3 linked regions of the Sus scrofa genome follow. The protein of the gene in region 1 binds, or shares a complex with, the protein of each later gene. Links are inferred from orthologs where the notes say so. Each region holds a gene or a part of one and is shown in the gene's direction. Other genes may lie near its edges.

Evidence for each region. The genes of interacting proteins can lie anywhere in the genome.
Region 2: SNRPG (region 1) and PRPF3 share a complex: the UniProt entries of both Homo sapiens proteins name them as parts of the U4/U6-U5 tri-snRNP complex. The link is inferred for Sus scrofa from reciprocal best matches to the Homo sapiens genes SNRPG and PRPF3.
Region 3: SNRPG (region 1) and SCNM1 share a complex: the UniProt entries of both Homo sapiens proteins name them as parts of the minor spliceosome. The link is inferred for Sus scrofa from reciprocal best matches to the Homo sapiens genes SNRPG and SCNM1.

Annotation. Positions count from the first base shown.
Region 1 is NC_010445.4:72,197,574-72,201,530, forward strand, and holds the start of SNRPG (small nuclear ribonucleoprotein G), read left to right. Parts: upstream 1-1,148; 5' UTR 1,149-1,270; coding exon 1,271-1,302; intron 1,303-3,957. UniProt on the Homo sapiens protein: Plays a role in pre-mRNA splicing as a core component of the spliceosomal U1, U2, U4 and U5 small nuclear ribonucleoproteins (snRNPs), the building blocks of the spliceosome.
Region 2 is NC_010446.5:98,768,919-98,773,149, reverse strand, and holds the start of PRPF3 (U4/U6 small nuclear ribonucleoprotein Prp3), read left to right. Parts: upstream 1-1,425; 5' UTR 1,426-1,545; intron 1,546-4,231. UniProt on the Homo sapiens protein: Plays a role in pre-mRNA splicing as component of the U4/U6-U5 tri-snRNP complex that is involved in spliceosome assembly, and as component of the precatalytic spliceosome (spliceosome B complex).
Region 3 is NC_010446.5:98,079,569-98,083,533, reverse strand, and holds SCNM1 (sodium channel modifier 1), read left to right. Parts: upstream 1-1,159; 5' UTR 1,160-1,278; coding exon 1,279-1,329; intron 1,330-1,596; coding exon 1,597-1,667; intron 1,668-1,907; coding exon 1,908-1,996; intron 1,997-2,093; coding exon 2,094-2,191; intron 2,192-2,299; coding exon 2,300-2,388; intron 2,389-3,052; coding exon 3,053-3,247; intron 3,248-3,495; coding exon 3,496-3,595; 3' UTR 3,596-3,690; downstream 3,691-3,965. Other genes in the region: LYSMD1 (lysM and putative peptidoglycan-binding domain-containing protein 1), read right to left, coding at 208-387. UniProt on the Homo sapiens protein: As a component of the minor spliceosome, involved in the splicing of U12-type introns in pre-mRNAs. Plays a role in the regulation of primary cilia length and Hedgehog signaling.

The DNA of each region.
Region 1 (3,957 bases):
TGCTATTTCTTTGGGCCGCTCCCGCGGCATATGGAGGTTCCCAGGCTAGGGGTCGAATCGGAGCTGTTGCCACCGGCCTACGCCAGAGCCACAGCAACGCGGGATCCGAGCCATGTCTGCAACCTACACCACAGCTCACGGCAACGCCGGATCGTTAACCCACTGAGCAGGGGCAGGGACCGAACCCGCAACCTCACGGTTCCTAGTCGGATTCGTTAACCACTGCGCCACGACGGGAACTCCTCTAGATTAAAATTTTTGGAAACTGAGGCCCCCTCACTCTATTCCTTTGGTGCAGAGGTCGTTAACTGAGCTGTTACTAGAACCTTAGTTGTAGCATGACATCCTGTGGGAATACTAAAATACCACAGGTTCAACAGTGAAGCAAATACCTCAAAGCAAGTCACAAGATTTTTTTTTTCTTAGTGTGATTACCTATCATAGATCACCATAACGAATACAGTAATGAAAAAATTTGAAATACTGTAAGAATTATCAAAATGACACAGACACAAAGTGAACAAATGCTCTTGGGAAAATGGCGCTGGGAGATTTGCTGGACTCTGGGCTGCCTCAAACCTTCAATTTGCTAAATTAAAAAAAAAAAAAAAACGAGTTCCCGATGTGGCTCAGGGAGTTAAGAACCGGACTAGTATCCATGAGGATACTAGTTTGATTCCTGGCCTCGCTCAGTAGGTTAAGAATCCAGCGTTGCTTTGTCTATGGCAAAAGCCAGCAGCTGCAGCGCAGATTTGACCCACAGCCTGGGAACTTCCATATGCGGAGGGTTCGGTCCTAAAAAGACCAAAAAAAAAAAAACCGCAGTGTTTGCAGAGGACAACAAAGGGAAGAACAACACATGGAAGTATGCACACACATGCCAAAGAAATTTTTAGGAGCCTACCCCTCCAGAGCTTATTTTCATCTGGTAGCGTCAAGACAACTTTGCAACCCACAAAGACAATGAGTTAACCAGCGTCCTTCAAATGCTAGAGGCAGGAACAGCAACCCAATTACAAAGAGGAATATAAAGACTGGAGGCCCCACCCCTCCGCTCTAGCCAATCCCTGGCGACACAACGGAAGCTTGGGACTGATCTGCGAGCTCAGGATTTTCCTAAGTATCGCGACGTGAAACGTGAAAGCGGCCAACAATCAATTGGCTAACGGGATCAGTGACGTCAGACGCAAAGCACCGGGCCTACCGCTGGAGCGTGAGGGAGAACACGAATTCCGTTTGGAGGTTTCTTTGAGTTCGCGGAGTAGGCATCATGAGCAAAGCTCACCCGCCGGAGTTGAAGAAGTAAGTATGCATGAGGGCCGCGCATAAATGGCGGCTTCTTTGTAGGCCTTGAGTTCCTTGGATCCCCAGCCATTTCCGGAGAGTGTGTCTGCCGTGCTTATTGCCACTGGCTGCCGCCGCGATCCGGGCCACCGTCCCACGTTTCCGGGCCTGCATCCCGCGCAAATGTTGTATTTCGGCCTGGTGGGCATGCTTTTCAAAGACGTAAAGGCCCCTCCGTCTGCAGGTTTGCCTCCCAGGCCGGAGTTCCTGGCCGGGTCTCTGGCACTCGATCCTTCGTTACTTAAAGATCTTGAATACCACAGTTAGCTGAACGCCTTGAGTAGCATCACGTTCGAGATAAGGTGGTTGGACAGTAATTCTGTAAGGAACTAAGGAGGTGGATGGAATGGAATTGTTTTGATGGTATATGAGAAATTCAAAAGCTGCCTTCATCTTAGTGTGTTGGTGGTTCCTTTGAGCTTTAACTTAGAAATCCCGTTCTTGGGAGTTCCCGTCGTGGCGCAGTGGTTAACGAATCCGATTAGAAACCATGAGGTGGCGGGTTCGGTCCCTGCCCTTGCTCAGTGGGTTAAGGATCCGGCGTTGCCGTGAGCTGTGGTGTAGGTTGCAGACTCGGCTCGGATCCCGCGTTTCTGTGGCTCTGGTGTAGGCCAGTGGCTACAGCTCCGATTCAGCCCCTAGCCTGGGAACCTCCATATGCCGCGGGAGCGGCCCAAAGAAATAGCAAAAAGACAAAAAAAAAAAAAGAAATCCCGTTCTTTTTTCTTAATTTCTTGCACTTAGGTTGAACTTGAATGTGTGATATTTTGCTCTGTTAACTGGAATGCGTGAGAACATTCATTTTTCTCTAATTAGAGAAGGCTCTTTTGTTGGGGGGGTGTTCTTGGTAAGATTTCCTTTTTGATTCTTAAGATATTAATGAGAGTTTTTAATTACCTTTCTTTTCTTATATGTAGATTTCAATAATTGTGAGATCCTGCCAGGTCTACCTCCAAAATGACTTTTAACTTTTTCTTCCTTACCATCTTTTTTTGGAGTTCCCTCGTGGCTCAGCCGGTTAAGGATCCAACATGGCACTGCTGTGGTTCAAGTTCAGTCCCTAGCCCAGGAACTTCCGCATGCCACCCACGAGGCCCGAAATCTTTTTTTTTTTTTGCATTTTTATATCTTCCGTCTGCTTTTAATATAATTCTGTGGTTCTTAACTGTGGTGTAGAGAGTCTGGTTCTACCAGCATTTAGTAGGTAGAGGCCAGGGTTCCTGCTAAATATTCTACAGTGCACTGGACATCACTCAACAACAGAATTATCTGGTCCCAGATGTCAGTATGCCAAGGTTGAGATACCCTGGCCCAATCATATTCTTCCTACCCCTCTTAAAAATCATTGCCAAAGTAGTCTTTTTTTTCCCCCAGTTTTTTTGAGATAAAATTGACCTACAGCACTACGTAAGTTCAAGATGTACAGCGTAATGGATTGATTTACACATGCTTCAGTAATCTTAGCCATGCCTGATACTGCTGCAGTAACTTATTGCCATCTGCATAATAAAGTCCAGACTTCTTGAACCAGCAGTAACGCTCCTCCATTTGAAATCCAAGCACCAAATATTACACACGCTAATATTTGAGTACCATGTTCTTGGGCCAAACTGAACCATTTGATTTTGCTCAAACTTTTTCACTGCTGAGTGACTTTGGAAATTTTACTTAACCTTTCTGGGCCTTGGTTCCCCATCTGTTAATTGGTGGTAATAACAATGCATAACTTAAAAAGCTTTCATAAGGATTAAATAAAATAAGTTCATATGTGTTATATTTGTGTTTTTTTATAACATCCTAGTAAAATTGATTGTTTTACATGTCATACTATATATTTTTATTTGTAAAAACCTGTCTTCTTACACCTTCTTCAGGCCTCATGTCTTATTTATCTTTGAATTCTCCATGATATACATTAAAATTGAATGAAGTTTCATATTTTCTAGCCTACAGCAAAGAGGTAAAAACTGGTTTGACTTGTTGGCTTCATATTCTTTTTGTCTTTAGGGCTGCACGCACGGCATATGGAGGTTCACAGGTGGGGGGTCGAATGGGAGCTGTAGCTGTAGCCCCTGGCCTAAACCACAGCCACACCAGATCGGAGCTGTGTCTGTGAGCTACACCACAACTCATGGCAATGCCAGATCCTTAACCACTGAGTGAGGTCAGGGTCCAACCTGCATCCTCATGGATACTCGTTAGATTCACTTCTGCTGAGCCATGACGGGAACGCCCTTGGCTTCATATTCTCATACTACCCTGCTGATATGGAATTTTGTTGCTTAATTCAAATTATTTAAAATTTCAATATGCATTTATTTTGCTAAAGTATACTTGGGTGTTGGAGAATATCCTGAACATTTAAGATTGTTGCTTAATATTAAATAAAACACTATGTATTGTCTCAAATATAAAATAAAATATCCATTGGATTGGATATGGTTTGATTACCTTCTGATTTCTTCACAACTTTGTTTGGTTTTTAAAATAACCAAAATATAACAAAATCTTTGTTTTTCTGTTTTGGTCGTAAGATTCTGTCATTGAATATTGGGTCGGGGAGTTCCTATAGTGGCTCAGTGGGTTTAGACCCTGACTAGCATCCATGAGGAT
Region 2 (4,231 bases), on another chromosome or scaffold:
GTGAGTTCAATCCCTGACCCAGGAACTTCTACATGCCTCGGGTACAACAACAACAACAAAAAACAAGTGAGATCACAGAAGTAATGGAGTGTAGGGCATTTTTCACTAAGTAATATGGAAAGCCATGGAGTTCCTGGGCCAACTGCAGCCTAACACCAGGTCCTTAACCCACTGTGCCAGGCCAGGGATCAAACTTGCATCCCAACACTGCAGAGATGCTGTGATCCTGTTGGGCCACAGTGGGAACTTCATGAGTTTAGCTTTATATAAGTTCTTTACTGAGGGAGACACAGGTTTAAGAAGCACTTGAATCGTGTTCTGCTGGACTACAAAATTGGGGAGGCTTACAAGCTTACAGGTAGTTAAATAAGTTGTTTATTAAAAATTATAATTGGAGGAATTATAATTGGGGTTAAGAACTAGTATCCACGAGGATGTGGGTTTGATCCCACATCAAACTGGCCTTGCTCAGTGGGTTAAGGATCCAGTGTTGCAGCAAGCTGCAGTGTAGAACACAGGTGCGGCTCAGATCCAGTGTGGCTGTGGCTGTGGCACAGACCAGCAGGTGCAGCTCCGATTCAACCTCTAGACCAGCAACTTCTGTATTCTGCAAGTTAGGCCGTAAAAAGGAAGAAAAAAAAAGAAAAGAATTATAATTGGAGCTGGCAAGAAGTAAAGGTGCTTGTTAGGTAAGGATTAGTTGAGGACCAAAATGGTTGATTAGGAATTCCTGTCCTGGCTCAGCGAGTAAAGAACCCCACTAGTATCCATGAGAACACAGGTTCCATCCCTGGCCTTGCCCAGTGGATTAAGGAGCCAGTGTTGCCCTGAGCTGTGGTGTAGGTCACAGTCCTAGCTCTGATTCTGCGTGGCTGTGGCATAGGCCAGAAGCTGCAGCTCTGATTCAACCCCTAACCCGAATTTATATATGCTGCAGGTGGGGCCTAAAAAGTACTAGACTGCCAGCAATTATTTGTTTTGCGAATGAATGGAAGAAAGAAACAAAGGTGTGTGAGAGGGTACTATCTTCAGACTCCTCCCACACTAGTCGGTTTTCTGGGTCTCTTGGCACCACTGTTAAGGACAAAGGCTAAGGAGAGAGTGGTTAATACTAACGATCACTACTCTGAAGTTTACTTCCTACCAGAAAGTCCAGGTTTAGCCCAAACGCAGAAGCTCTGCTTTTAGTTCTAGCCATAGCCTTAGCGCACTTATTCTCCACGGGAATACTACAAGCAGCTCAATTTATGCTTCAGGTAACATTAATTTTGCGCTAATGTAGTTAACAGGTTTAGCACGGGGAACCGAAGGAGCCAAGTAGCTTGCCGGGGGAAATCGTTACGGCTCCGCCACGCATGCGCTCCGCCGCGGAAAAGTAGCTACTACGGCTGCGCGAACCGGGGCCCCGCCCTCTTTCGTCACAAGTTGTGGGACCGTGGCGAGGCAGCAGCCGTGGCGGTAGCGACGGCAGGCCGTAGGGCGGTCGGAGGGTTTCCGGTTCCGGTGTAACGTTCGGGCTCCGTCTCAGGGGCTGAAGTTTGTGAGGTGAGTAGTGGCCCCGGGCCCAGAGAGGGTATGCTCGGGTCCTAGCGGCTGGGGCTAAGTTTCAGTCCAAAGGGAGGACCGAGGCGGGAGGTTCAACAGAAAGGAGGCTGAGGAAAGAACCAGGTTCTGTGCGAGAACGGGTTGGAATGAGATTGTTGAGAGGAAAAGGGCGGGGGCGGGAAAGGGACAGGGTGAGGAGACTACCTCTGAGATGAGTTTGGGTAGAACAAGGTGGGGAAAGGGTCCGGTCAGAGAGATGGAGAGAGCAAAAAGCAAAGGATAGGGTTTAAGGGAGGAAATTCGACTTGTAGCAAAGAAGAGCACGAAGTAAGGAATTCCTTCAGAAGATTAGATTCTGCTACCTGCTCATTGAGATCATTCTGCCTTCCTCTCTCTCCCTCCACACCGTAACCACCCCCACCCCGCCCCACGCAGTTATTGTTGAACGTCTGATTAATGACAAAGCTAGTTACTATTTGGAAGTTTGATTTTTGCCCACTGACTGTTTAGTCTGCACGTTATATTATGGAGGGAATGGGTTGAAATTGAGTACATAAGTATAGTGCTTGGGCATACGGTTCGTTTATAGAGTGGTACCCCGTTTATTGCTTTGGATTTTCAAACGGCTTAAACTTTCTAATCTATGATTCAGTTCTAGTGGAATATAAGCCCTCTAAGGTGAGGATTCTTGTCTCTTTTGTTCACTGTTGTATGTATCCTTGGCAGTATCCCACTACATTAACACTTAGTTGTTGTGCAGTAAATACTTACTGAATGAATTAAGTGCCAGATAGCTATGGCAGTTGTCCTCCTTTTGTAAGATGAATGAACTGAGGCTCAGAGGAATTGCTTGACAGAAGGTTAGTAAATGGAAGAGCTCTTTCTTCACTCCCTATGTTGTCTGAATACCCTTCTTTTGAGCATTGAACAGTTAGCATGTTGAAATTGATAAGCTATAGTGCTGTCTCATGATGGGTAAATAGAGCCATCATAGATTTATTATATAACATGTCAGTAAGACACAAAATCTTTTACTCCTAGTTTCATGACTTCACTAGCTTCATATGGTTATACCAAAATTAAATACACTGTTTAGCAACAGGTCTTATAGAGGATAAACCTACCAAGAATGCAGAAGTTAATTAGACTGTACCGGAGTTCTTGTCGTGGCTCAGTGGTTAACGAATCCGACTAGGAACCATGAGGTTGTGGGTTCGATCCCTGGCCTTGCTCAGTGGGTTGAGGATCCGGCGTTGCCGTGAGCTGTGGTGTAGGTCGCAGACTCGGCTCGGATCCCACGTTGCTGTGGCTCTAGCGTAGGCCGGCGGGTACAGCTCCGATTAGATCCCTAGCCTGGGAACCTCCATATGCCGTGGGAGCGGCCCAAGGGGGGCAAAAAAAGTTTTAAGATATCTTTTCTCCTAAAAGGTACAGTGTAATTTTTTTTTCTTCTTTCTGGATATCTTTTCTCCTAAAAGGTACAGTGTAATTTTTTTTTCTTCTTTCTGCCATTTCTTGGGCTGCATATGGAGGTTCCCAGGCTAGGGGTCTAATCGGAGCTGTACCCGCCGGCCTACGCCAGAGCCACAGCAACGTCGGATCCTCAACCCACTGAGCATGGCCAGGGATCGAACCCACAACCTCATGGTTCCTAGTCGGATTCGTTAACCACTATCCTATGACAGGAACTCCATCTTAAAACATCTTGAAGCGTTCTTTTGTAGCTCAGTGGGTTAAGAATCCAGTGTTGTCACTGCAGCAGCTTGAGATGCTTCTGTGTCGTCCACGTTCCATCCCTGGCCCCAGAACGTACAGTAGCAAAAAAAAAAAAAAAAAAGGAAGAAGAAGAATCGTATTAATTTGCATTTAAAGATTGTTCTAGAGAGTCTTTTATGATGGTGTTTTCTCTGTTAAGCTAAACAGGAGAAAAATAGAAGTGGAAAGAGAGTACATCCAAAATGAAAGTAATCTTTTCTGAACTGAGAGAATATTTATGACAGAGGCCCTGTAGAACATAAGAGAAAAATATCTGAGTACAGAATTCCCACTAGGATGAATGTGACTACAGAGAATTGTGAGAGCGAGTTCCTATTGTGGTTCAGTGGTAACAAACCTGACTAGTCACCATGAGGATTCGGGTTTGATCCTTGGTCCCCTCAGTGGGTTAAAGGATCCGGCTTTGCTGTGAGCTGTGATATAGCTCATGGACAAGGCTCAGATCCTCTGTGGCTGTGGCTGTGGCCAGCAGCCACAGCTCGTTTGGACCCCTAGCCTGAGAACTTCTGAAGATGTAGCCCTAAAAAGACAAAAAAAAAAAAAAAAAAAAAAAAATTGACAAAAACAGCCTTAAGGATTATGAGCTTTAGTATAGGATGACTGATGTGGATAAAGCCTCCCTTATTTGCATGCCTTAAAGAAGGCCTGGGTTGGAGTTCACAATGTGGTGCAATGGGTTAAGGATCTGGCCATGCCACAGCTTTGGCTCGGCTTCGTTCCCTGGCCCGGGAACTTCCATATGCCATGGGTGCTGCCAAAAAAAAAAAAAAAAAGAAGAACGGCTGGGTTGAGGAATACCTGCCTGGAAATAAGAATAGAAAAGCTGACCTCTAAGTGGACTTTATATAAATATTTGCAATCCTTGAATATGACAGAATCAAAAAAGAAGCTGGAACTCATTTCTTAGACT
Region 3 (3,965 bases), on another chromosome or scaffold:
TGCTCACCTCCACCGGGATATTGAGACAGGATTTGTCTCAACCAGACAGTGCAACACGAGATGGGACCCTTGTCAATTAATTTATCACAATTAACTAATTTAGACACAATTAGGAAAATTTCAGGTGAAGTTGCCCAGAGGGCCACTATATCCTCATGAGGAATAAATCTTTTCTGAGTGTCTGCGTCCCAATCCTGGAAGACTCACCGTCACCCCGTATTTGAGTGCTAGTCCAGCCAGGGTGTCTCCGGGCGCCAACTGATGCTCCAGGCGTCTTTCCCTCACCGGGGAGCAGGCAGACTGCACAAGGCTTCCATAAGAACGAGCCCGGCTCCCTTGAAGCAGTCCTGACCCCCCGAGGGGGGCCTGTCTAGAGGGAGAGGCCATCTCCTCACCCTGCGGACAACTGGAGTTGCAACTGCGGGAGGCCCGGCCAAGTGACCGATAGTGACAGGCCCGGGGTCTGGGAATGAAAATCTGGAGGATTCCTTTCCCTTTCTGTGTTCTCTCCTAAGTCTCTCCGCCTTCCCCCCACTAGGCGACCTCTGACTCCTGGCTTCCCCGCCTTCCAAGGCCTTTTCCCACAAACCTGTAACCTGACTGTTCAGTCCCTACCTGAGTTTCTCCTTAGTACCCCTCCGACTTTCGATCCCCCACAACTCGCGACATTGACCTCTGACCTTTGACCACTAGACACCCTCCTCTACACTACAGAGTTTGCCCCCAGGTCGGTCCGCCAGACCTCCCAGCCCCCAACCCCGATTCCGCGCGTCCCGGGCTTGGTCGCTAGGGTCGGGAACTAATCAGGCCCACTCCAGGTGGGCTGTGGCCTCAGGCGAAGGGCGTGATGACCGCGAGAATCTGTAGCACACTTTCCCCTGAGAGATCCTCAAAGGTACGCTCCGCATCAAATCAGTCACACTCTCAAACTCGGGATCCACAGCTAGGTTCCTCTTTCTCCAAACGCCTCTAATCTGCCAAGATGCAAGGGCCTGAATCGGGCAGGGCGGCAAGCTCTTTGAAAAAAGACTTCATTTCCCAAAAGGCTCCGCGCCGGCGGGGTCGCAGAGCACCATAGGAAATGCAGTCCCCTCTATGGGCTAGAGGCGGGTTTTCGGGATCGCGCGGCGCATGCGTGGAAGCGCATCCCGGAAGTAAGGGGGCCAACCGGAAAGAGACAGGAAAGAAAGGAGACGTCCCACTCTTGCTACGGTGGCCTGAAAGGAGTGGCGAACGCGGCGCGATAAAACTTATATTTCTGGGGCTCTCACAGTCGTGATGTCTTTCAAGAGGGAAGGGGACGATTGGAGTCAACTCAATGTGCTCAAAGTAAGCGCGAGAGGAGAGCATCTGGAGCAGCTTCAGTTGCCGTCTGAAGGCTGTGAGGGAGCTGTTTTGTTGCTGTGGCAACAACTCGGGGGAGGGGGGCGGAGGAAGCCAGACGATTGGAACTGGGCCGACACCCCTTCTTCAGCCCAGATCTCTACCCTTCTTGTGGCCTTTATTCCCTTTGAGTCCTCGTCCTTGTCATTTCCTTTTTGTTCCTCCCTCATATCCAGCTGACCCCGTCCTCATTTCTTCCCTTGTTCCCTGCAGAAACGGAGAGTCGGGGACCTGCTGGCGAGTTACATCCCAGAGGATGAGGCGTTGATGCTACGGGATGGACGGTGAGGACTAGGAGTGGATCAAGCCTGGGGGTTCTGCGGTTAGAGGCTCAACAAACTTTTGTTATTAAGCAGATTGGAAAGAACAAGGAATCTTTGGCGGGGAGTGAGTAACAGGGATGTTGGTGGTGGAGACTGGGAGACTTGGGATTTGGGCTTTGGAAAGGAGTTCTAGGCTGTGGTGGAACCTATGGCAGAGACTCCACTCCCCAGGAACCAATTATCTTCTCTCCTCCTCTCTAGCTTTGCTTGTGCCATCTGTCCTCACCGACCGGTACTGGACACCCTGGCCATGTTGACTGCCCACCGTGCAGGCAAGAAACATCTGTCCAGTAAGTTTGTGGGAAGACAGAGCATAGAGAATAAACCCTTAAAGGGTTTATTCACTCTGGGTGCCCTCCTTTTAATTCTCTTTCCCTTTCTCCTGAGGCCTGCAGCTTTTCTATGGCAAGAAGCACCCAGGAAAGGGCCTGGAGCCAAATCCAAGACAACAGAATGAATTGAGGAGAGAAGAGACCAAAGCAGAGGTAATCAGAGAGGGGAGGGTGTGTTCCAGGCTGCACACCTTAGGCTTGAAGGCTCTGGATTCTTTCTAGCTCTGAAGGTTCTGACTTTGTCTCCCATCTCCATGCCAGGCTCCTCTGTTAACCCAGACTCGACTTATTACCCAGAGTGCTCTGCACAGAGCTCCTCACTATAACAGTTGCTGCCGCCGAAAGAACAGGTCTGTGGGGTGGGTAATCCAGAAGTAGGGAGGAACAGGAGATCGATCGCTCTAAAGTACTGTTTTCCAAATTGGATTCTGAGGAATACTAGTGTTCTGGAAATGCTAACTTGAATTTCAGGAAAAAAGAATTTTGTTTGGGAAATAGGATTTTGTAATCCTGTTTGACGCATAGTAATATTACGAGTTCCCATCATGGCTCAGCGGTGAACAAACCCGACCAGCATCCATGAAGATGAGGGTTTGATCCCTGGCCTTGCTTGGTGGGTTAAGGATCCAGTGTTGCTGTGAGCTGTGGTGTAGGTTGCAGACACAGCTCGGATCCCATGTTACTGTGGCTGTGGTAAGGGCTGGCAGCTGTAGCTTGCATTCACCCCTAGCCTGGGAGCCTCCATATGCCACAGTGCAGCGCTAAAAAGACCAAAAAAAAGAATAGTAACAGTATATTTTCAGGGTTCTACACAGTCTTAAAAAAAAAAAAGCTGAAAAAACTAACTTAGGCTTTCCTTAAGTTCATTTGATTCCAAAATCCTTTTTATGCAGAACACCTGTTAATATCTTGAGGAATACAGTTTAGGAAGCACTGCTTTAAGGGGTTGGGAGTTACAGGAGATTTGGTCCTTTCCTTTACTGCTTTTACAGACTTTGATTCTTCTCTACCCAGACCAGAAGCCCCTCGTCCCTCTGTCTCTCGTTCCGCTTTTTCACCCCCAGAGGTTGAATCCCAAAGTGAGAGGATCAGTAGGGAACTTGAGCCTGCGGCTGCATCACAAACCAAGGAATCAGCCACTGTCTCATCCCCTGCACCTATGAGCCCCACAAGAAGACGGGCTCTGGATCATTATCTCACCCTTCGAAGGTGAGTGTACGGAATCACTTTCCTCAGATTGTCCCTTTTCTCTCTGGCTCTCCTTTTTTCAAACCTCAAATATTACTTATCCCTACTAGCTTTTGGGGGGGGCGGGAGGCCATGCCCACAGCATGCAGAAGTGTGCCACAGCAGTGACAATGCAGATCTATAAACTACCGAGCTACCAGGGAACTCCGCTACTAAATTCTTAACACATTTCCTTTCCTGATCGATTCTGTTTGTTCTGATATTTCCAGTTCTGGATGGATCCCAGATGGACAAGGTCGATGGATAAAAGATGAGAATGTTGAGTTTGATTCTGATGAAGAGGAACCCCCTGATCTCCCCTTGGACTGACACTCTTTCCCCATTCAGTTCACAAATAAACTATAGTGGGCGCTGGGAGCCTGACTTTCCTTGAGTCTGGTTCCTTGTCTCATTTCAGGATTTCAGGTCTGTTCGTTCTCAGCCTGGCCAATATTTCCCTGCAATGTACACAGCTCCCCATACTTCTAGCCCCTCCCCCCACTTCTACCAAAGTCATGCCAAGCGTCAGCTGCATGCAGCCCGGTGCCCTAAAATAAGTCTGTCAGAAGGAGGTCTTTGCCCTTCATGTTGTCTGACTTCTTCCCCACCTCCACTCAGAGTCTTTTCCTCCTTCAAATGACATGAAGTTTTTGGGTAGGCACTGGGTGGGGTGGGGGTGGGAGCTGGACAGGTCTGGAAA